3 linked regions of the Oreochromis niloticus genome follow. The protein of the gene in region 1 interacts with the protein of each later gene in a biochemical or structural test. Links are inferred from orthologs where the notes say so. Each region holds a gene or a part of one and is shown in the gene's direction. Other genes may lie near its edges.

The links.
Region 2: of the proteins of cdc34b (region 1) and uba1, one has a biochemical effect on the other in vitro, tested with the Homo sapiens proteins (7 studies listed by BioGRID, with this or other methods). The link is inferred for Oreochromis niloticus from reciprocal best matches to the Homo sapiens genes CDC34 and UBA1.
Region 3: the proteins of cdc34b (region 1) and skp2 form a complex in vitro, tested with the Homo sapiens proteins (3 studies listed by BioGRID, with this or other methods). The link is inferred for Oreochromis niloticus from reciprocal best matches to the Homo sapiens genes CDC34 and SKP2.

Annotation. Positions count from the first base shown.
Region 1 is NC_031982.2:12,765,568-12,773,612, forward strand, and holds the start of cdc34b (cell division cycle 34 homolog b), read left to right. Parts: upstream 1-4,521; 5' UTR 4,522-5,143; coding exon 5,144-5,329; intron 5,330-5,445; coding exon 5,446-5,532; intron 5,533-5,948; coding exon 5,949-6,046; intron 6,047-6,848; coding exon 6,849-6,983; intron 6,984-7,587; coding exon 7,588-7,798; 3' UTR 7,799-8,045. Other genes in the region: splicing factor Cactin, read right to left, coding at 1,009-1,171, 1,327-1,472, 1,647-1,742, 1,836-2,439, 3,572-3,876. UniProt on the Homo sapiens protein: E2 ubiquitin-conjugating enzyme that accepts ubiquitin from an E1 ubiquitin-activating protein, and catalyzes its covalent attachment to other proteins by an E3 ubiquitin-protein ligase complex. In vitro catalyzes 'Lys-48'-linked polyubiquitination.
Region 2 is NC_031984.2:18,166,114-18,174,371, reverse strand, and holds the start of uba1 (ubiquitin-like modifier-activating enzyme 1), read left to right. Parts: upstream 1-4,875; 5' UTR 4,876-5,099; intron 5,100-6,509; exon of another isoform or gene 6,510-6,748; intron 6,749-8,239; coding exon 8,240-8,258. Other genes in the region: camkvl (caM kinase-like vesicle-associated, like), read left to right, coding at 77-155, 233-320, 612-620, 1,851-3,341. UniProt on the Homo sapiens protein: Catalyzes the first step in ubiquitin conjugation to mark cellular proteins for degradation through the ubiquitin-proteasome system.
Region 3 is NC_031972.2:8,165,528-8,172,936, reverse strand, and holds the start of skp2 (S-phase kinase-associated protein 2), read left to right. Parts: upstream 1-4,080; 5' UTR 4,081-4,232; coding exon 4,233-4,246; intron 4,247-4,839; coding exon 4,840-5,087; intron 5,088-5,178; coding exon 5,179-5,290; intron 5,291-5,677; coding exon 5,678-5,821; intron 5,822-6,030; coding exon 6,031-6,165; intron 6,166-6,491; coding exon 6,492-6,590; intron 6,591-6,681; coding exon 6,682-6,809; intron 6,810-7,093; coding exon 7,094-7,145; intron 7,146-7,308; coding exon 7,309-7,409. UniProt on the Homo sapiens protein: Substrate recognition component of a SCF (SKP1-CUL1-F-box protein) E3 ubiquitin-protein ligase complex which mediates the ubiquitination and subsequent proteasomal degradation of target proteins involved in cell cycle progression, signal transduction and transcription.

The DNA of each region.
Region 1 (8,045 bases):
TCATGAAGCCGTTGCCAATCAGATGCCTTCCAGCATTTTTTTTTTCCTGTTGATAATTCAATTAATTCTGACTTCCTGTCCAACACCACTGGTTGAAAAGCAGCCCCAAACTATGACAGAGAGCCCACCATGTTTTGCAGAATGTTGTAGACACTCAGTGTTAGACGACCTCTGTACATGTTAATGACAATTTGAACGAAAAACTTCAAATTTGGATTCATTACTTTACAAGACCTTTTGAACAGATTCCGTCCAGTTCTTGTGTAATTTGGTATACCTAACTCACTCCTCCCTGTTTCACTTTCTTCCTGCCACCCTTCCACTGAGACAGCTCTTGACTGAAGTAAAGAAATGTGCTGTGGAGTAACAAAGTGCCTGAAGATTCAATTTCAAATTGGTTATTTGCCAAGTTGTCTACCGATGATAAACATGGCACAGATTCATCCCTTGCGCAAGGTCTCTTTTTATGCTTGAATGATTCATGGTGGCTTAACAAAGATTCCTCTGAGAAAGGTCAGGTACAAGAACTGGACTGAAAATAAGCAAAATAGATGCCAGTGATCAAGGAAGAGCACTGAAAGGCCTTCAGGAAACCTGGAGAACTATTGCTCAAGAGCACTTAAAAAATGTCAAGAGCACTTGACATCTGGAAGCAAAATATAAAGAAAAATATACAGAAACAGGGGATAGTTTAAGAATTTTGCACAGTGCTATAACGTGAGGCTTCATAACAGTAGCTCATAACGCAGTGGGTGATGTTATGTTTTACATAAAGTCTAAGCTTTACACTACAAATTGAGCTGGGTTTTTAATATTGTATTTGTGTATGGGCATATTATGAAACACTGTATACTCACATATTTTTATTTAACCCTAATAATCACAAATCACATTTAAAGATGATACAGTTACTGGGTAAAACACACAAACAAAAGTGCAGGTTCACACTCTTAAATCGGTCCTTTCGTAAACAGAACTTTTACACTTTATTTAAGCACATCTACAAACCTTTATGTCCTCTAGCAAGTCGTCCATGTCAGTGACCGTGAGCCCATTGAGGAACGTGTATGGTTCGTGCATTTCCACTGCCAAATCATCATCTTCTGCACTGATGTACTTCGCCAGGAGGTCAATCGGCTTCGCACGGCCGTCACGAATTCTAATCTTAGACCTGCAGAGACAAAGCACAAGGGTGTGAAGCAGGGTTAATTAGATAAATAGATGTAGAAGGTGGAAGTTTAAACAAACTGATCCAATCATAGTGGAGTACATAAGAATCCTCAGAGGTATGAAAAGGGAGATTGTTAATATAAGAGCCACACTAACCTTAGTTTGGCTTGATGCAGATGGAAGTTGTCTTCCTGTTCAGCCCAGGTCTTGAAATATTCTGCCTCTTTCTCTCTCTGCAGCATTTCCAGCTCCTGCTCTCTCATGGCCTTCTCTCGCTCCCGCTCCAGACGCAGCTGCTTCACCTACATCAACATAAAGTTGGTGTATAAATATGTCGCTCCCAATCTCTAATCTTAAAACTGATCCTCTATGTTTTGCCTGGGAACTGAAATTCCATCCTTTTTTTAAGCATTTGTATAAAAAGTCAGGTACTGTGTGAGCACTAATGTGGAAGATTTTCATCCCACAGTTCTTACCTTCTGCAGCTCTCTGCGGTTCTCTTCCTGAATACATTTGTTCCTTTCTTTGAGCTCTTTCTCTCCGAGATGACCAATACCTTTCTTATCTAATGCCTGAGGAAGCAAAAAGAACCATGGATGGGATACAAGGTCTCAAAGGCAGGTTATGACAGGCAAATATCCAAACTTTTGCAGTCAGGAACTCACCTTTTGCCATTTAAATGTTCCCAATAAGTTGTTGTCCCCAAAAGGATTGTCTGCATTGGTGTATCCCAGGTATTCCTCACTCCAGCCCATTTTCTCTCTCCTTTTCTTCTCCTTTGCTTCCTTCTTTGCCAACCTTCTGGCCCTCTTCTCCTCTGGTGTCTCAAGAGCTTTCATCATCTCCTTCTGTTTTTTCCTCTCCTCCTTTTCCTTGACTGCGCCTGTCTCGCAATCAGACTCTGAGCTCTCAGATGATTCACTCGAACTGAAGCGCTGCTTGCCTCTGCCCCAGTCAGACTTCTCTTGGCTTCTCTTACTCCTCCCGCGCTCCCTGTCTTCACTTTTCTTCCTTCGCTCTCGACTTTTGTCTCTGTCTCTGCTGCTGTTCTTGTGCCTCTCTTTCTCTCTGTCCCACTCCCTCCTCTGTCTGTCTCTTGGTGGACTCCCTCTCTCGGCACTCCTTCTTCTTCTCCTTTCTCTGTCGCCGCTCCCATCACGGGAGTCAGAACTGGACTGGGATCTTCCCTTTCTCCTCTCTTGGGATGTTGTTCTACGACTCTCCTGTTCCTTTCTCCTCCTTCTCATTTTGGTATTATCTGAATCAGGACTGAGACAGAAAGTGTGATTTAATACAGTGACTGCAGGAATACAATATTAACTACAGAAGAACCACATAAGAGGAATCTCTGAAAGTGAAGTCCTGTTGAATACAGTTAAAAACCGATTTATTTATTTATATGCAATGGAGTTACCATAACAAGTTGATATAGGGATTATATCTACAGCAGCTCTTTTCATTCACATAAAGCCTAACACTAACGTCACTGAACATCAGCATCGCTATCGGTTGATTGGATTACTGTGCAGCAGCCTGGCACTCAACCAAGGATGGGTTGAGTGCTGTAACATCATTACAGCAATATACTGTGCACACATCCCTTTTGTAATATTTTATGACTGAAGTGACAACAAGCATCATGTTGTACAATGATTTAAACCCTACATCCAATCAACAATCACACAGAACAACAAAAGATTCAATTCAGAAATATAATTTGCTTTTCAAAAAAGAAGGGTAATTTAAATTTGATTCCAGCAATACATTTTTAAAAAGCTGATACTAGGAATAGAAAAACCTGGTGATCAAAGAAGATGCCTTCTCCTCAGGGAGGAGACCCCGAGCTAGACCCAGAACCCACTGAAGAGATTATACATCTCACTTTGCCTGGAAACGCCTCAGTATCTCCCAGCAAGGACTGGAAAGTGTTGCTTGGGAGAAGGATGTCTGGAATACCCTGCTTAGGCTGCTGCCATTACAACCTTTGGATGATTGATTGATGGATAGACAGAATATCTACGAAGGTCTCATTGGCATGTTGCCTTCTAGCAAGCAATACTGCGCCACACGCACTGGTGGTACTGGTGGTAATGGTGGTTCTTCAAATAATAAAACAACAGACACATCTTTTTTCTTCCTTTTTTGAAGTAAGGCTTTGCTCAGTTCTGCAAGTCAACATTAAATTATATTTAGCGCCTATGCAAAAGCATAGATGCATGCTGATTCCTGGAATTCCCCCCAAAAAGAATAGTTTTTGTTGATGTCCTTTCGCTGTCGCAAAGCGGACAGAAAAACGTTACGTTTACGGAGTCACTCGATGTGTTCAAATGAGGCCTGCTACTACCATCATAATATATAAAATCCCAAGTAAGCAGCCAACTCCGCTTCGTAAAGCGATTACCTTGATGACCGACCCTTCGACCTGTTCCTCTGACGGTGAGTCTCTCGCCTCCGGTCGCTCTCCGAGCCGCTGCTAGAACCAGAGCGGCCCCTGTGCTGAGGCCGACGTCGGGCCGGAGAGCCATCGCTGGAGTCCCGACTGCCGGATCTTCCCCTACCACGAGCGGCCCTTTTCCTGTCGGCAGACCGACTGCGGTCTCTCCTCTCATCTGGAGATCTAGACTTGTTTCCTCTTGACTTGTTCGGCCGATCTCGGCTCCGACTTCTGGACCTGGAGCGAGTCCGACGTCGAGACTTGGAACTCATTGCGAAGTTTCTCTCAATAGGGGGTCCCAACACCAGTATGTCGCATAAATAAGATGTAACAAAGGGGACTTTCTAAAACATATTATGTTTGCGCCAGGTTAAGCTGCATTGGAACGTTTAAAAAGCAAATAATGTCAATATTTCACATTTTCAGGTCATATTCTAAAAAATAAAATATAAAATAAAACCGTTATATTTTTAACTAGATAACGGGGCAGCAAAAAGCCCCGCTCGAAGGGGCTTTCTGTAAAATGGCGCGTATTATTTACGTCACGAGAACCTTGAGAAAAATAAACTAGAAACAAATTCCCCGTTGTTTATATGAAATCCGCACCCCTCCTCGGAGTACCATCTGAATACAACTGAGAACCGTCAGTGTACTGAAATAATTTCAGGGTGAAAACAGCTCAGAAGCACGAACAATATTTGGCGTTTTTGTGACGTCAGAAAGTGGCAAATGCAGTTCCCTAAATTCCCTCTCAAATAAAATGTTAAAGAAATAGTCTCTAAAGGCTGTTATTTTTTTCCTGGATAAATTTAATTTTATATAAACTTATGTAATAAGATAGTTAACTGCGTCACCGTACGCCTTCTTTGCTTTTCTAAAGGGGAAAAATAATGTTGACAGGTGGAAACTGGACTACAAATCCCGCAATCACAGGGCGCCATTGCCTGTTTGTAGAGGAAAGGGGACTCCTTTCAGCAACATTCTTCTCTATCCTGTCTTCTCTTATGGCTGTATGAGCTATATTTTCCGGCTGTTGCCGTAAAGAATTCATGGGTTTGGGTATATAGGTGTGTTTTCTGTCCTAGCCTGGCTCTTGTATGCGGTTAGGAAGTATTCGCGCCGCGCTAAGATCGGCTCGATCTGGTCGGTGAGGTAGGGCTTGTTAGCTAGCTCCTATTAGCCTACAGCTATCAGTAGATTTACGGCTTATATCCGCGGCTGTTCTGCCAGGTAGATCAGCTAAAGCTGGAGGCGCGGGTCTGACACAATGGTCGGTCAGTTGCAGATTTCTCTGAGTGTTGACATTGGTAAATAATTCCTCTGTTTCGGGGACAGATCAACGCCACCTTTGTTTGGCTCGAGCACAGCCTGACACGTTTGGCCTGTTTTATTGTCTCGGTACTGTTGTTGTTGTTTTCGGGGTAGGCTGCTTGGCTCATTAGGCTAACTTTGCCGTGTTCGCGTGAACAGAAGGAAGCAGTCCACTGTTCACTCCAGAATATCCTGACAGCCACCCAGACCACCAGCAACAACAACATTATGGCGCAACCCGACGCCCCTCATGTAGCCAGTTCACAGAAAGCACTCATGCTGGAACTGAAGAGCCTTCAGGAGGAGCCCGTGGAGGGATTCAAAATAACACTGGTGGACGAGGCTGATTTATACAACTGGGAAGTGGCCATTTTTGGACCACCAAACACTCACTATGAAGGGGGATATTTCAAGGTAAGAAAGCCAAAGTTGTGTGATTACTTCACTCAATGTAGTACAATACACAGGCTTTACTGAATGAATAAAGGTTGCCACACAATTCAAGCCCCAAAGGTCTCTTTTTGTCCTAGGCTCGGATCAAGTTTCCTCTAGACTACCCTTACTCCCCTCCGGCTTTCCGCTTCCTCACCAAGATGTGGCACCCCAACATCTATGAGGTAACAACATGACATACTTGTATGCCCTCCCACTGCTGTTTGTGATGGGAGCAGCTGTCCTAGGCTTGGCTCATGATTCATATGATCAAATACCACTTGCATCATGGGGCCCATTAGACCCATTTAAAAAAAAATGTTTGTTTGTTTGTTATTGAAGCCTGGCAGTTAATTGATTGACTGCCAGCAACCTTAAGGTGTTCAACCCAGCTGAAAACCACAGGCGATCAAGCTTCATAATCTCTCCATTAGGAGAGGTTGGCTTTTTTTTTTTATTTTTTTTATTTTTTTTATGTTTTGTGTAGTGTATTTAGTATTTTTATACAGGACTTTATCAGATTCTTGTTTTTAAAAAAGTCTATAACTAAATTTGACTGAATCACATTTGAAGGAGCTTTCTTTTCCCCTGTGTCTTTTAGAATGGAGATGTGTGTATTTCTATACTGCACCCTCCAGTGGACGACCCACAGAGCGGAGAGCTCCCTTCAGAGAGATGGAATCCCACCCAGAACGTCCGGTTAGCACTCCCTCATTATCTCTCTCATGTCTCTCCTTTCTTGGGTACCTCCCTTCTTTGTCCTTTCTCAGCCACTTCAATAATTTACCTGAGTCAGAGTCTTATCGCATGACATTCGTCTTCATTGGCTTCTTTTTACTTGTATCTAGAAACTGAATCCATATGTGGGCATTCAATGTATTATACACCTTGTTAGTTAAAGCAGTTTGAGTTGCCTCTTGTTTTTTTGCAGTATGGAGGCATTATCAGTCAGTAGGAAGAGGAAGATACCCTCTTTTATACTGTTTTATTATAGTAGAAGTGCATTATTATGCATTGCTTTCAGAGCACAAGTTATTACACAAAAATACAAACGTCACCATTTCTGAACATGCTGAACATTCAGTGACAGTCTTAGGACAACAATCCTCCTCAACCTTGTTTAAATAACATTTACAAAGGCGTAGAGAGGTCTGTTTTAATCAAAACACAGTCCAGTGTTCTAGTTGCTCATTGTTTTATCCAGTGCAAATTACCTGACTGTCGTTTACAGCATTTTTGAACAATTTAAAATAATCTATTATCTACCAGAATAATTAGCATTTAAATCCATACTGAGAGACTCTTTATCCATATTTCTAAATTCACCCAATACTAAAATAAAATGTAATTTTTAAAAAAATTAACATAAGGGAGAAAGTAGAAATTCCTTCTTTTTTTTTTTTTTTCTTTTTTTTTCCTTTTTGTTTAAATTCACATAACTTGTGTGTTCGTGTCCTGCAGTAGATGCCACGCTGACTGCCACCTTTGTGTTTGCTTCCAGGACCATTCTGCTGAGTGTGATCTCACTGCTGAATGAACCCAACACCTTTTCTCCTGCCAATGTGGACGCGTCTGTCATGTACCGCAAATGGAGAGACAGCAAAGGCAAAGACCGGGAATACGTGGAGATCATCAGGTAAACAGTTTGCATGATTCACAGTTAAAAGAAATGGTATAAACTCACTCGCAAAACAAAAGTAATTTCATGTCAGAAGATGTATCTCATAGTTGTAGAGAAGATTTTACTGATTCAGAGGGTCAAACTAATGCCCTGCATCAAGCAGAGAAATACAGCTGTATTGATTGTTGAAACAGCTAAAACTGTCCAGTGCATTATTAAAACTTGGTGAACCGCCATTCTTCTGGGAATAAATATGTTCAGAAAATAAAAATCCTGAATGATCAAAGCTGGAGTTCACTTAAACATTTGGCAAAATCAAATTGCCCAAATTGTGAAAGAGTGTTAGCAAATCCACTGCAGGTGTTTTTAAGTACCTTGGAGGCGACCTAACCAGATGACTGTTGTGGGTGTGTGGACTCTGTACTCTGAATGTTACTTGTAAAACATTCATAGCATGAAGGTAAAATTTTGCACAGCTTCATTCATTTAGCAAAAGATCAGCTGACTGTTGGCGGATAAGGTGGGAACTTTTCTTCAGATTTGGTTGATCTTTTATGGAAAGACAGAAAATAATAAATCTCCAGCTGTTTGTAATAACGCCACTCTGATCTCCCCTCAGAAAACAAGTGTTGGCTACCAAAGCTGAAGCTGAGCGCGATGGCGTGAAAGTGCCCACTACGCTGGCGGAGTACTGCGTCCGCACACGTGCCCCAGCCCCCGATGAAGGTTCCGACCTGTTCTATGACTATTGCTACGACGAAGACGACGTGGAAGGCGAGGATGGCGACTGTTGCTATGACGAAGACGACTCGGGCAATGAGGAGTCCTGACGTGCTTTTTTGCGGCACCCCGATCTTAGCTGACGTGTGCTACCCCTCCTCTCTCTGCCCGGGTTGCCAGATATTCTAGGTTTACAACCAAGAAAGATTGGAAGCTTCCCTCCTCTAAACCAACACAGAGCTTTTTTCCTCTCGCCTCTGAATGCGTCTTGGAGGTTGAAATTGATGCCTTGCTGTGGAAGGCTCTGACCTGGTAAGATTTGCACCAGCACAAAAGTCACCAGTTTCTTCAGTTTTT
Region 2 (8,258 bases), on another chromosome or scaffold:
TTTTCGCTTTTTAAAGACTGCATATATGATTTCTTAAGATGCCTCATTTGCCTTTTCGTTTCTCTCTCTCTTTCAGCTAAGGAGCTTGTCTGTCGCCTGATGGAAGTGGACCAGATGCTGAGAATCACAGCACAAGATGCGCTTTACCATGAGTGGTAATCATGTGCACATACTGACAATAGCAACAAAAGTCTTGGCACACAGCTACATTTACTTGTATGTTGTGTCTCAGGATTGCAGGGAACGGTGCATCAGAAAAGAACCTGAAGGATGGCGTGTGTGCCCAGTTTGAAAAGAACTTTGCAAAGGCCAAATGGCGGGTATGTATTCACTCCTGCTCTGTAAATGTGAGATTAAATGAAGTTGGAAATAATAGCAGCAGAGGAATATTGGAGGAGAAACCAGATGAAGACCAGGGTCTTAATGTGCTTTTAGCTCGTAACACAACTCAGCAGAGGTATGTTTAAAGTCTGTGAATGACATGGTGGAACTGATAAGGCGATCCAGGGATGAGACTGGTGAAGACAAAGAAGGAAAGTGGTGGCAATGCTAACCTAACAGCTTAAGTAACAGCAACAATCCTCTTCTCTCTTTCTCCATGTGGTTCCCAGGAATTAAAGGTATTGTTTTTCATTCTGAAGGACAGTGGAAGGGCAGAGCGTGGGGAGAAACTCACATTTAGTCCAGAATGACTCAATAACGCATCTCTCTGATAGCCAAATATGCTTTTAAGTTAAAAAGAGATTTTTATCAGAACCTATCTCTATAAAAATCAGTTTGGAAAAAATGTTATATTAAATGTTAAACCCAAGTCAGCTTTGAGATGTATTGATCATGTCAGGGGCCGTTGAAACTCTTCCCAAGCTCTGTTCCTGCCCACTGTCACTCTGCCTGTCCCAGAAGAGATCCATCCACTCTGCCCCACTTTTTGTCATTGGATTACACCCAGATGTTCAAAGTGGCCTGCTCTACTCCTTTCCTTCTCCTCATCTGCACTAGTTTATGAATCCAGATCTGCAAATGTGAGATAAGCAACAGAGAAGCAAGTTTTTTTTTCTTCACTACTTTTGTAGTATTTAAATTAGTGTAGATAAGGAGAGGGTTAAATGGAAAGGACAAAAGGGTTCTTAGCCACTGTGAACTTATGAACTGCCGTGATTTATACTGTAAGGCCCTCTGGCATTCCTCTTACGTGAATCCTGGCCCATTGTCCCATACTGTTGTTACATTTAAATCATTTTTGAAGCAATACTAAAGCTTCTCAGTTAAGAGATATTGTTTTCTGTAGCATTTTTGTGTCCTAGTGGCTTTTCACTTCCAGAGAATTCAAGGGAATTCGTTTCCCTGGTTTATTAGCAGTTATTAAGCTCACACATTCCCCCCTGACTCCTTCAGTGTTTGTAGAGCAGAAGGAATCAGATCGGTGTAACATTTATAAGAAGGGGATTTATACACATTTGCTTGATTACTTTTTCCAGTCAGCAAGCACTCAAGGAGTTTCTTGGGGAGGGTGAGACTTGAGATTGATTTAAACCAGGGCACAATATGTCATAGCCTTCTGGAAGTAAACAACCGGCACTAATCTACCTTCATGTCACACAAATCATATCTCAGCTCTTAGTACGAAGTTGCTAAAATCATGGTGTGTTGACAGGCTTTTTTGTCAAATGCTTGTCCTTGAAGCTTATTTTTTAAGCTTTTCCATAACTATGTTATCAAAGTATTTATTTTTTTTAGCGGGGGGGGAAGAGGAAATATATTTTAACGAAAATTAAATGTGCTGCAGATCTCATTCTTTTCATTCTAACCATCCTTCTCTTGTTTTTCTTCTACTTCTGTCTGTTTCGCAGAAAGCGATCCGTGTCACCACATTCATGCAACGCCTGAAGAATTCAGAAGCATTGATTGATAGCTCTGCTGAGGTTCAGGGTAGTGAGGAGGCAGGGGATGGTGAAGGGGGTGCGTCGCAGGGAACAAGTGATGAGGGAGAGAAAGGGACGAGTGATGGTGGGGTGACATCAAGTAGTGTGTCTTTAGAAGTTACTATTGAGAGTATGCCCTCTGGTATGGACCAGAGTAAAGAGACAGTTAAGGCTGGAGAAAAACAAGAGGAGGTAAAGATGCATATAGGCCCATCTGTAGGAACTTCGCCATCAGGTGTAGAGGACCTTTTCTGTCAATCAAATGCGGTCCCCAACTGTACCCAGGAACAGCCTGACAAGGTTGGTGTAAAGAAAGGAGCAGGTGACGGAACCAGGAAAATGGCTGCAAATTTGGGCCAAAATAAAGTTGTTCCAGAATTCAAACAGACGCCTGCGGTGAGCCCTGAGGCCTCAAAGCTATTAGACAGCACTTCGGGCATTAATCTTGACAAAAAACACATATCGTCCTCCCCTGATCCCAGCAGCAAATGTAAAATGGCTGCAACACTTCATGCCCCTTCACACACAGCATCCGCTGTTGCATCAGCCTCACCGCTGAAGAGACCAGTCACACAAAGCGAGCAAAAGGATGAGACTGACGGAAGTTGGTGTCAGACACAAATACCTGAAGCGGTGGCAGAGAAGTCTGTGGTGGCGCCAGTCACTCCAGCAGTGGGGCCAGGTACAGGGGTGGATGGAGGACTAGGAGTCAGGCTAAGGGGCGATGCCAGTCCAGTAGATAGGCAGGACAGGAATGCCAGAAGAACAGATAGATACAGCGCTGAGTTTAGCATACCAAGAGCAGGTGCTACACCGGGACAGGCTTGCTATGCAGTTGGAAGCTCTGCTAGCTTGGGCCGTCATGCCACACCATACAATCCAGAGGTTGGGGCTATGGGGATGGGGATGGCTGGGAGCTATGGGAGTCCATACAGTTCCCTGTATACAAGTGGAGGAGGTGTAGGGAGGTATGGAACTGGGCTACAGCACAGTGGGGGGAGCAGCACTTCAAGCGATTGGCAAATGGACAGTGTGATCGAGCAGATAGAAAAGCAAATGGCTGCTGTGCTGGAGAAGATCGAGGGAGACATGCCGTCGCTCCTAGAGCAAATCAGTGACTGTCCTGCTGAGCAACCTCGAGCTCGGAGCACACACGCCTCTCCCGCCACCTCTCGTGCACGCCCCTCACAGCGGTCCACATCTGCAACCACCGGCACCCCACCACCACTTCCTACCTCTCCCAGACCTGTGCTGCCATCTCTTCCTCGCATTAGCATTCCTCCTCCTGCCTATCCCCCACCATCTCCACCCACAGAAGCCTCACCCCAGGCGCTGGGAGAGCAGGAAGACAGAGATGTACAGGCGGCTCCTGCTCATTCAAGCCAGTCACCAAGACCTGGGATAGGCAGGGGACTATGAGGCAGGTGTGCATGATGCAATACACAAAGGCAAAAATACCTGGAACACTGTATTCATAGTTAAACTTAAGGATTTAATGACTGTCTCACCCAGAAGGACTGCCTAATTGTGCGCAAAAAGAGAAGTTATTACACTGTTGTTTGGTTTGGCTGCATATTCATACCAGATGACCCTACGCCCTTCTGACATTCCAAACACTTTCATCACTGGAGTCTAGAGGGATTGGAGTACAATATATATATTTCTGTATGACAGCTTCACAGATCAAGATCTTAAAAGTTTGTTAAGATCTAAAGAAAGTATGCTAAATCCAGATTGTGTGCCTAAATGTTTACCACACAACGACCTCATATGGAAATCCAAGCACTCAACAAATTTCCAAGTTATGAAGCTGCACAAATAAGAATGGCGAAATTCTCAACTAACAGTGAAAGAAAAGATCTAAATAAAGTATTATACCCTAAAAACTGTAAATAAACAAAATCAAACTAGGTTCCTAAGTCATATTTTTCTTCCATGGTGTGAACTTCCAAAGTGACATTTACTTGTTTTTTTTGTTCAAAGCAGATCGTCCCATGATTTATTTTTGGGGGGTTACTATGTATTTATGTGGCTATTTATTCTGTTGTGATGCTTGGTGTCACAAAGTTGTACAGAAATATGTGAAACTGATTTGATAAAGCCATTCCCCTGGTTGCAAGAAATTAAAATTTGTTTTATTAAACAGTATATTTAAACTTAAACTGTCACTTAGACTTATGAGTTGTTCCACATCTGTCAGAGAGCTGGGGAAAATATACTGTATAAAGGCTTTGCAATAACACGGTAACACTTACATTTTCTCTCCTTTTTCCCCCAAACATTTCCAGATAGTTTGTTTTCGTTTGCTCCAGTTTTGTCAGCACATTCATTTGGTACCGTTAACTGGACAATCCTGCCTATTTTATCCTTTTCATCATAAAACTGTTCTGACTTTTGTTCTGCTATTGGGTGTATGTAATACCAGATTCTGTGCTTTTCTCCTGAACAAGTCTAGATCTCCACTATTCTGTCCCTATGTAAAATGTGCACTGTTTGCAAGTCTTTCAATAAAAGTAAGCCAGTAAATACATGCATATATATTGAGTTGTTTAAAATCATTTGATCACTCTTCAAAAAAACATTTTAGAATTACAGCCGTGTTTTGTTGTTTTGTTTTTTACGTGCTTAATCAACATTTATCCAAAAGGCAGATTTCTGACAGGCGTTCTATTATATTATCCTATATGCCTACAAGTCCCATAAGGCACTGCGTGAACTTCGGTTTAGTCCATGGTTGTAAGGCTACGGGGGTAACAAAAGTAGTCTTGTTTCTAAATATACAACTAAACCACAGAGCAGTGTAATATTCAGTACGCTTTATCTTGTGGATGGGATGTGTGAACGTTAACGATTAATTAAAAGACAGAGCAGACACAAACCAATCTTATTCATTTTCAATTAACCCCAAGACCCGGAATGATGGTTGTGCCTGTAACGTGCACATGTTGCTGCTTTGCTTTGCTTTCAACTGAAATAGAGTGAGGGGAAACGGGTTGGGAACAGCCGGACAGGCAGCCGTCCAGCGGAAAAAACTCACACAGAGCCCGCCACCGTGACACACTTTTCACTTTGCAGTCAGTGGCGGTGTTGAATTGTCACCTTGGTTGTTGTTTTTCTTTGCTTAAGCAGAAGCCGATTTTTAATACTCCAGATCAGGCCGAGTAAATATCGGATGTGGTAAGTTCTGCACACTTGTGTAAGCTCTCGTCCTGGTGATGTTAGCCTCAGCTAGTTTGCTAATGTTAGCTAGTTAGCTAACATAGCGGCACAAGAAGGGGAAAAAGTCGCTGGGTGGCTAGATAGCTCGAAAGCTAGCCGCACACAAGCTAACAACTACGCAGTCTTTTGATGTGCGTTATCGGTAGTCGTTAATGTTAGTTGCAGACGGCTGAGCGAACCATTTAAGCTCCTTGCTCCGCTAACGGTAGCTAACAAGGCACTGACACGTAACTGTTAACGGCAAATTAGCATTTGCACGTTTTTATGTGCACGGGGTTGCTGCTTTAATTAATGTTAGGCGATAAATAACGTTAATGGTAGCTAGAAGGCTAGTTGCTTCAAACATTTGATGGATACTACGTTGAAAGACAGACACGAGCTAACTGGCATCACGAGCGTACATGCTGGCACTATTTTTTTTCCTCGTATATCTGATTGTATATGTAGGGTTCCCGTTTCGATGGCACGTTATCGGCGTTATCACAGTAACCTAACCTAACACTGGCTAGTCTCTCTGTTTAGCTTGTCAAGTTAGGCAGCCTATTATTCGGACATCATTGATATTCGTATGCTTCAGTTCAAAGGGAACGGTGTAATACTAGGGTCTTAAGCATTTTCTAGTTGGAAGATGAGAATAGGGGATCACCTCGACATGTGTACCCGAGTATATGCGGCCCACTCTTTTTTTTTTTTCCTGGGCCTTTGTCATTTACTAGGCACCCCCTCCCCCAATACTCTTCTGCAAGGAGTGCTCACCCCTAACCTCAATGTGACTAAAAGGCCCAGACGCTCAGCATCACTAGCTAATAAGGATCGTACACTATCCGACTTGAGTAGTGATGATAATTGCTGAATTCAGAAAATAGTCAAAACAATTGGTGTGTTAAGTGGAATGTAGCAAATTGTGCTCCAGTGAGAGTATATCCAATGGAGTTGTAAAATGTGTTCTTTATGATGGTGCATTGTTGCAAGTTTGGTGTTCAGCTTTGTTTATGGAGTTCACATGAAGATGACTGATCCTTGCTAATCTGCCTCTGAAACAAAGGTGTTGTTACTGATGAGTTACATTCAGCTCCGTTAAGGGAGAATCCTTTCATGCAATGATCTCAGACATACCCGGAGTTATTTATTTATTTTTTTTCATTAAGTGTTGTTTTTTTTCACTAGATTATTGGAGATCCTACTGTTCATTGTACAGTAAGATACTTGGCATGCATCCTCTCGTAGCGAGGGCGGGATCAACGCGCTTTAGCTTGGGCTTGAAGAGCCAATGAGCCGAGGACCTGGATGAGCAGCGTGCTTGCAACCACCCTTTCCTGTTGAATATTTCAGCCCCTGCGTCACAGCTCCTCCGCCCCTTTCTCCCCATCTGCCATTTTGGTTTTGTTCCTGTCTGCAGTCGCAAAGCCAGCAGCGCAATTACATAGGAGAGACTATCGGCACAACGACATAGTGACTCGACAATATAGTGCAGACCACCCCAATTCCGCATCGCGTTTCTTTTCTCTGTACAAATCGTCGAATATACAATCAGCGTTTTTACTGACAGCTACACACAGCAGGAGAGGAGCGGGTTCGCATTGGGAAGGGACCGAGAAGGATTATTGGTAAGGAAAGGGAAATCAATGGAGCACGAGTGTAGTGGCTTGGCTTGTATTCGTAGTGTTTATGTTAAGTGACAAAGTTAAATTGTGCTTTTTGTTAGATGCCTAGACATTAACCCATGTCCATATAGAAGCTGTGGTAGACGCCTGTCAAATCCGTTGCTCTCCAGTGCGAGAAGGTCGGTTGGAGTGTAGCCACAGCTGCTAGCTTGTAAAATTGTGTTCCGCACTGAGGGTAATGCAGGCCTAGGCCGAGCTGCTAATGGATAAGCTGACAAGCTGGTGTTTTCTTCCCTCTAAGTTATTAATGTTTAGACTCTGTCCACTTGCCAAATCACTTAACCGATTAGTGGTTCGGAACCTACTTAGTTTTCTATTGGTGCTGTTATCTGACAGTTAATTTATATTTTTCTACACATTGAGATCTTTAAATCGACTGCTACCCGTTAACGTTTTCTAGTAGGATTGGCAAACTACTGTAACAGCCGGGCGGCTTTGCTGTATCATGCCGGACGCCTTCATTTTCGGTTTTGACAAGCGAGACCGTTCGGTTAACGGTGATATGAAAGCTATTTTAGGCTGGTTGCAGTCGTATGAAAATTTGCCCAGGTGTCCTCATGATTTAAAGTCGTAGAGAGGGTTATAAACTGATACGTGTGCCTTGGGAAATGCACGGAAGTTGGCGCCGCATTGGATGCGGAAATTGTGCCCGATTTTTTTTCTTTTCTTTTTTTTGTGCGCCTAGAATGTATTTGAAAAATACTGCGGCCCTCCCGAGTGCAGAGGTTTATCGCGACTATTGCGTTGCGTCAGAAATCTAAATGCATAAGTAAATGCATTGCTATTAAATGTTGCTGTTTAGAGCTTTCTTGTAACATCGCCATCTACAACTTAGTTGCAGCACAGCATGGTCCTTGTGTCCGCACCTGCCAGCCATTGTGTGGTATTGCTCAGTTTACCGCAGTGAACTTTTAATGATTCAGCTCTTTTCCTTGAAACGATGTTGGGTGTCCATAAATACCAGGAAAATAAACAAAAGAAGTATCTAAACAAACCTGTGCTTTCTGTGAGCATGAAAGAACCGGTAATGCTATTCGTCTCTTCCCAGCCTCAGTTCGTTTTCTAGCAGATTTGTGTTTGGCCTGAAGCCAGCCCAGCTGCTCTCTAGGCTAAAAATCCTCTCTTCAAAATGAGGGGGACTGGTTAGCCTTTAGTTTAGGTACTTATTATAATGGAACCATAGCAGTGAATTATAAAATTACTACAGTTTATATTAACTGGAATCAGTTGGCTTCTGAGAACATTCAGGAAATCCAAGCTTGTTGACAGTGTGCTGTCTTTGTCTTCTTTTCTTTTTTTTCTTAATGATGTAAGGTGTCTTTCTTTTATTCTGTATTTATTGCAAACTACCAAAAATCTTATAGGGCAGTTGTTAACTGGTAACATGCATGTGCTTGAATGACAACTTAATTTATGACGGTGGTTAATGCACAGATGTCCAGCTCGCCGCTGT
Region 3 (7,409 bases), on another chromosome or scaffold:
GGTTTGTTTAGCTAGACATCTGCTCTTTACCACTGAATCACAAACCTATCAACAGGACAGGGATCAAACACATAGAAAGATATCAATCTGAGGGAATATGCAAATATAGTTATACAATTGTATCACTTAGATAACAATGATAATTTAAATTAAAATGCTATGTCTGGGGAGCACATGTGAAGACAATAGAAATGGAACCACTATTGTAGCTTCAGGAATTTCATCATATGAAAAAGTTGCAGCAGTTGGATGTTACTTTCTGAATCAGGATAAGGTTTTGGCAAGAAATAACTACTTAGAAAAACCTGTCAGTTTGGAATATTCTTAAGTATGCATCAAAATTATTAACCAAACCAAGATATTGTCCAGTCTCAGAGTGTGGAACCGTGCTCACTAGACTATGTAATTTTTTGCATAATAGTTAGGGATAGTTGCTGCTGCCCAAACTTGATCCAATGTATTGTCTGCTGTAAGTTAGGGTCACAAAATTACATTCTTTTAAAAACATACTTATCTTGTATTAAAAAAATACACAGAGACTTTTTTTTTTGTAACTGAGGGCTTTTATTTTGAACATTTCACATTTTTAAAGCATACTAGTCTTCCAATAAGAAAGTTTTATTTTGAAAATCTGACACACCTTGTCCCTCCTGTCAGTCATTGTCAGGGTCTGGGACTGTTACCTTAGTGCACAACTGCGTGTATGTGTGAGAACGAGGGAGAAAGGTCAATAGTTATAAATAACAGCGTACGCACATATGACCTGAGGTGGAATTACATCATTTTTTCCAAACTATAAATATTTGTGCTTCCCATACTTATATATCCATACTCAAAATCACAGACAGCCTCTGAGACACTGTTAGATGGATAAATCAGTGCGCCCCAGGGCAGCTGTGGCTACAATGTAGCTTGCCATCACCAGTGTGTGAATGTGTGTGAGAACGGGTGAATGACTGAATGTAGTGTGAAGCGCTTTGGGGTCCTTAGGGACTAAGTAAAGCGCTATACAAGTACAGGCCATTTACCATTTACCATAAATAACTTTAAATAGGTTGAAATGTGTGTGTGGAACAGACTGAAATGGAGGCAAATGACATGTTGCGGCGACCCCTAAAGGGAGAAGTCGAAAGAAGGGGATTAGTGGGAGACATGTATATATTTGAGCCTGTATGGTTTAGAGAATATCCAGAATATTTCTGAAGAGCGTGTGAGAGAGTAGATTAGGCAAACATTCGGGATGGACTTCCAGCTGGCACACCAAACAGGATTCACTACGAAGAATGAGCGGTAAGCAGGTAAGCACTGGTCATCTGGTAAAAAGCTGCGGGAGTCCTTCATCTGACATGAAGAAAAGGAAACTTTATAGCTGTTCCATCCACCAACATCTGTTTTACTCAGAGAAAAACCTCCAGTAAGTCTCAAAAAGTTGTATTAAAATATGCAGATGAACTATTAACTTAGTCTGATACTATGTTTAAATTATACAGCTTGATCATGGCTGACAGCAGCTGTCCTATTTTACATGGAAGGGAACAGGGGTGATAGTAAAGAAGGGCATGATGTATACTAGACCATATTAATTTCAAGGCTTTCATAACAATTTTTAGATTGAAAGTGAAATAATATAAATTGCATTAATATTTAAAATATAAAAATAAAAGCTCTTGTACAAGCAAAAAAATAAATAAAACACACATGGGGCAATAAAACACTTGGCCACTGACCTGATGGTTGTTAGGTTGGACACTGAATTATTGTTAATATTAATTAACGTCAATCAACGTTGCGATTTGGTGCCATTTAAATTAAATTTAATTGAATGGAAAAAAGCCAACTTTGTTTACATAAGTATATCATATAAGATCAGTCGCTGAAAATTTTAATAGTGTTGAATATCAACACTTTAAAATGGCACAATTCTGACCTCTTGAGCTACAATGAATGTTACATAATATCAAATAAACTGGTTCGAACATGCTCACTCTTGAGTCATTAAACACGGAAAACCTATAACTGAATAAAAGATGCTTTCTACAGTCATGTTTTGGTCCAATATTGCTGGTGAAGCCTCCTGAAACTCTCTGGTGTTATAGGAGTTATTCAAATTCAAAATAATTTACTTCTTCAGAAAGAACTTAAAATAATATTTGTTTGAATGCATTAATCTGATTTAGTGTCAGAGGCTCATCAGTTCATAAACTTCATCCATACTAAAGCAAATAAATAAATAATAAAGGAACACGTTGAAAACACCTTAGATCTCAATGAGAAAAAAATCATGCTGCCTCTACATCTATACTGATGTGGATGTAATGTGTTAGGAACCAAAAAATACCACACGGTTTGATGGCAATGAAAATGATTAACCTACAAAGTGCTGAATTCAAAGACACCCTGAAAAGTATAGTAAAAAAATGATCTTACTTAGGAACGTTCCTAGCTACTAATTTCTTACTCAACTAATTGAGAAATTACACTAACCGACTAGTCTAAAAGTAAGAAACACTCAGATATTTAGTTAAATTTGAGAATCGTTTCGATAAAAGTTAAAATCTAAAACCACAAAACAATAAATCATCTAGCCATTTTCTTCCCCTTATCTGAAGTCAGTCGTGGGGACAGCAGGGAAGCCCTCCCTTTTGCCACCTCCTCCAAGCTTATCCGGGAACACATCCAGCCTTTCCCAGATCAGCCTATAGATATGATCTCTCCAGGGTGTCCCGGTTCAGCACCGGGGCCTCCTCCCAGTAGGACATGTCTGGCCAGAAAACCTTATCCATTCGGGAAAAGCCTTAGCCGTTTCCTTTTGATGTGGAAGAATAGTGGCTCTATTCTGAACCCTGTCACTAAGGGAAAGCCCACCTTTAGGAGAAAGCTATTTTCTGCCATTTGTATCTGCAGTGTCATTCTAATAGCAAAAAGATCAGGGCTATATTAAGTTATGTATGGTGTTTCTCAACAACCGTCTGGTGGCAAATGGCTGCATAACATTTAGGACAACAACTAGTAAGTTTGGTACCAACTAGTGACAATAGCGCGATTAGTCGACTAGTCGCACACATCCCTAATCTTACTTCATACGTCTTTTGACCCAGTTGGTAACACAAGTGCTTCCCTGCTTTATTAAAGCACGACTAAGGAAAAAGACCTGCTAATAATCAGGACCTATTACCTACTGCCTTAAAAATACAATTTTTCTTCTTCTTTCATTTATAACAGCAGCTTGCATCCAACGATGTTGTACTACTGCCATCTCCTGGGTTTTACTGCTACATCACTTCCATACCCTTAGATCCTGTTGATGGCTGTGTCCCAATCCGGCGACCGCACGCTTCGGAGTACGCGCAGTTCGCGTACTATGAGTCCAGTATTTCTCAAAAAACAAAGTCTTTCCTTTCCCTTCATCATGACTCAACTGATCAACCACCATTTCAAACTTGGGTTCGGTAGTACTACCCATTTCTACCCTCAACATTCTCCTTTGACTGACATACTTCCTGCAGCTAAAAAGCACATGTTCAATCGTTTCCAGAGCATTACACCGATTACATAAACCAGTAAGATGTTTCCGCATCCTAAAAAGAGTGCCATCTAGAAAACAATGACCTCTTCTTATTCTACGTATAATTATAATTACCTCCTCCTGCCTACTTACACCTCTATTTCTTGTAACGTGAACTGTTTTGTACTTTATATAAATGTCTCCCTTTTACTTCATTACCCCGCGCCATTTCCCATAAATTCTTACTTTCTTTCCAAACGTTTCCCTTCAGAATTCGACAACGGTATCTGCATATCAATATCTACTTTTTTAATAGCTTCTTTGGCCAACCTATCTGCTCTTTCATTACCCACAATACCTATATGAGCGGGAGTCCACATTATTACTATATTTTTGCTTTGTTCACACACAAAATCTACGATTTTTCAATACTTAACAATGCTAACAATGAATCACTATTATTACTTTTGAAATTATGTCTTCCACCCGTTCTAAAGCCAATAATATGGCACATAACTCTACTGCATATATACTCAAAAAACTGCCACCTGGCGAAATCCCTAATGCGTATGACGTAACGCGATGTACGTGCAGGCACGTCCGTGACGTAACGAAAAGAGGGCGCCCCAGTGTTGGCGGCGAATTTAAAGAGTCTCGGTTGGAGGGCTGCGATCCAAACAGTCTTGCACTTTTTGTGTAGGATCGCACTTGTTTCGAGTTGAAGGAAATGCCAGGCGACAGGTATCGTTCTCAGTGGTTCTTACATTCTGTTACTAAAAATATTTGAGGTATAGCGGTGCATAAGTTATCTCTGAGATGTGTTGCACATGTGAAAATGAGCCGCCATCCCAAGGCTAGCTTGGTGCTGTTTAACTGTCCCAACTCAAAACTGTGCTTTCCATTTCTAAAGCGGTGTGAACAAGGCGGAATTATGCGAAATTGTGTGTTCGGTAAACCGCCGGCGTCTTAGCGTAGTTAGTGTAAACTGTACCGATAGCGCGCTTTCTCCCCAGCGCTTTCCCTCCACGCCTGTCAGCGGCTCTTTTCTTCCCGGGGTACACACTGTAAGCTAACCGCGGAGCAGGAGTGGACGTCCTGGACCACCTGCATGTGTCTGTGTACTGAAAGACAGGAGACAGTGTTTGTCGTTTGGTTTTGCAGTCAGTTTGCGCGGTCACACCGCTGGTAGCTACATCAATATGGCGGGCATGGAGGGGTTCTTTAGAGGAAGCTAGGCCGCTAAGTAGCCTTTCTGTGGGGTGTTCGTGTAAGACAGCATGATGAAGCCTTGTTTAACCATGCCCACATGTCTGATTAACTTCTGCTTCCAACAGTGTCCCACTGCAGGATCGTCCCTGCCTTAGTCTGCAGGACTCCATGCTGACTCAGCCCAAGAAAAGCAACAAATGCAAGTCCAGAGGCATTCTCAGCGAGGGCCTGGACACTGAGTGGACCCCAACAGATCTCATCCTGCAGTTCACACCACCGCGCAAGAAACAGCGGCTCTTCAGCAAGGGGAAGGAGAATGACAGCAATCAATTTGTTCTTGGCAGGAGATCAAGGAGGAAAGACCCCTCACCAAGTAGGAGGAGATGGTTTTCTGAGGTTTAAGATGAGGACTTTCACCTGTGATCAACTTAACTTTTTTTCCCCCTTTCTCCTTCCCTCTGCAGACATTTCATGGGATCAACTACCAGACGAGGTTGTTCTTAGGATTTTCTTCTGCCTCCCTCTCCAGGACCTCGTCAGAATATCTGTAGTTTGCAAGCGCTGGCAACGTTTGGCGTGAGTCATAATGATCATTAACAAAATCTCTGGCCCTGCTTCTTCCCGCTTGAAATTTTTTTTTTTTTAAGTGCGGGGCGGATCCTAAAGATTGAGTTTGCATACTTCAAACCACTCCTCTGGTTCTTTCTCACATCTGTGTGTTTAAACTCGTGACACTTATCAGAGTATTCAAAAATATGGAAATCTGTGGCTACATTCAAAAGTATTAAATTCTGACAAACTGGTAGATAGACGAGTTTGTGCTGCTTAATATTCTCAATGACACACACAATGGAAACCCACATTCACATTTAACAGAACGGGTTGCTGTGTGCAGGTTATTTACTGCAGGCTTCTGTAGGGGTTTGCCTCCATGACACCTCTTTGCTTGTCCATTCATCACAGGTTTGACGAGTCTCTGTGGCACAGTGTGGATCTAGAGGGGATGACCCACACTGGTCTGGCTCTGCAGCAGGTGCTGAGGACTGGCATCCGCAGACTGCGCTGCCCTCGCTCCTTTGTGGAAGAGTTGCACTTGACATACAGAGGGTTAGTCACATATATCATGGTGTGTCCTGATTTTCTTCTTCACTGGAAGACTTACTCTGAGTTTTCCTTGCCTGTGAAAATCTAATGAAAACTATCTAATGTCTAATGTTTAATTCTCCTCCACACCACAGAGCTCTATTAAGTATTAAGTTCTGTGGCACTTATTAAGTGGAAAAAAAATGCTCTTTTCTTTCTTTTCCATTATCCAGCTCTTTGCAGGTGGTTCAAATGGATCTGTCAAACTCAGTCATACCCACGTTGGCTCTGGAAGACCTCATCTGTCGCTGCAGACTGCTAGAATGTCTGAGCCTGGAGGGTCTGCAGCTCTCTGACACCATCATCAGGTGAGATCTGAACTATTTGCTACTGATTAGTGTAGCAGGGATGTCACTGATTCCCAGTGTCTTTGCAGCTGCTTTTCTCTTCTCAAAAAGATGTCTGAGCTTTTCATGACCTCAGATGCTGAGGGAAACATGTCAGTGATGCTGTTTGTAGCAGAGCCTCATCAGAGGTGGAAAAGTCGTGCTGTAACTGTTGATTGTAAACTGGCAAAGCACTAAATTCTTCTCAGTAAATGCATTTTCTGAATCTGTTTCAGCTTAAATCTGTACTGTGTGTTTGGAGCTCATGTTTGGGTGTATTTGTTAATCTCTTTTTCTCTCTCACTCAGCTGTCTGGCAAAGAACACCCGCCTACAGGAGCTCAACCTCAGCGGCTGCTCCGCCTTCTCTGCTCCTGCGCTCGCTAGGATGCTGAAATCCTGTTCCCGGTCAGCTGCTCAGTCCTTTATTCACTTTGTAACCACAGTTTCAGTTTCTCCTCTTCCTCAGATTTACTCATGCTCTGATTTTGTGTTTCAGTATACAACAGCTGAACTTATCATGGTGCACCTTTGATAATAATCACATAAAGAGCGTCGTTGATAATCTGAGTTCTAGTGTTACACATCTCAACCTCAGCGGTTACAGAGAGAGCCTCACCCTAAATGGTGAGTGGTGGAGATCTTCAAGTCACTGATTTCAACACTAACAAACACAGCTGGTTTGTCCTTAATGATGTAACACATAACAAATTGCATAATGATACAGTAATTTATGATTCACTTGACAGCTTGAAGAGTAACACTGAGGGTGCGTACTGCTGAAGTGAAATTAGTTTGTGAAAACTGTATATGGATAGATCGATCTAGATATAGATCTATATCTTAAAGATTGTTTGAGTTGATCATTCTGACAGTGTCTGACGTGTGTCTGTGTCATTTCTCATTTTTAGATGTGAAGGTGCTGGTGGAAAAATGCCCCCAGATTAAAACTCTAGATTTGAGGTAAAAGTTTAGTCATTGTTCTGTGTTTGGTATTTAATTGTGGGGTTTTTCTTTAGTTGTCTTGTTTTATTTGCTATTGCAAATTAAATTGTCATGGTTGGAAAAATGTCTTTACTGTGGCCACAGACAACTGCAGCTTAAAACCTGTGTTTCTGTGTCGCAGTGATAGCACTCTGCTGACAGCTGACTGCTTACCTGTCCTCAAACAACTCAAGAACCTGCTGCATCTGTCCCTGAGCCGCTGTTATCACATTCACCTTGCTG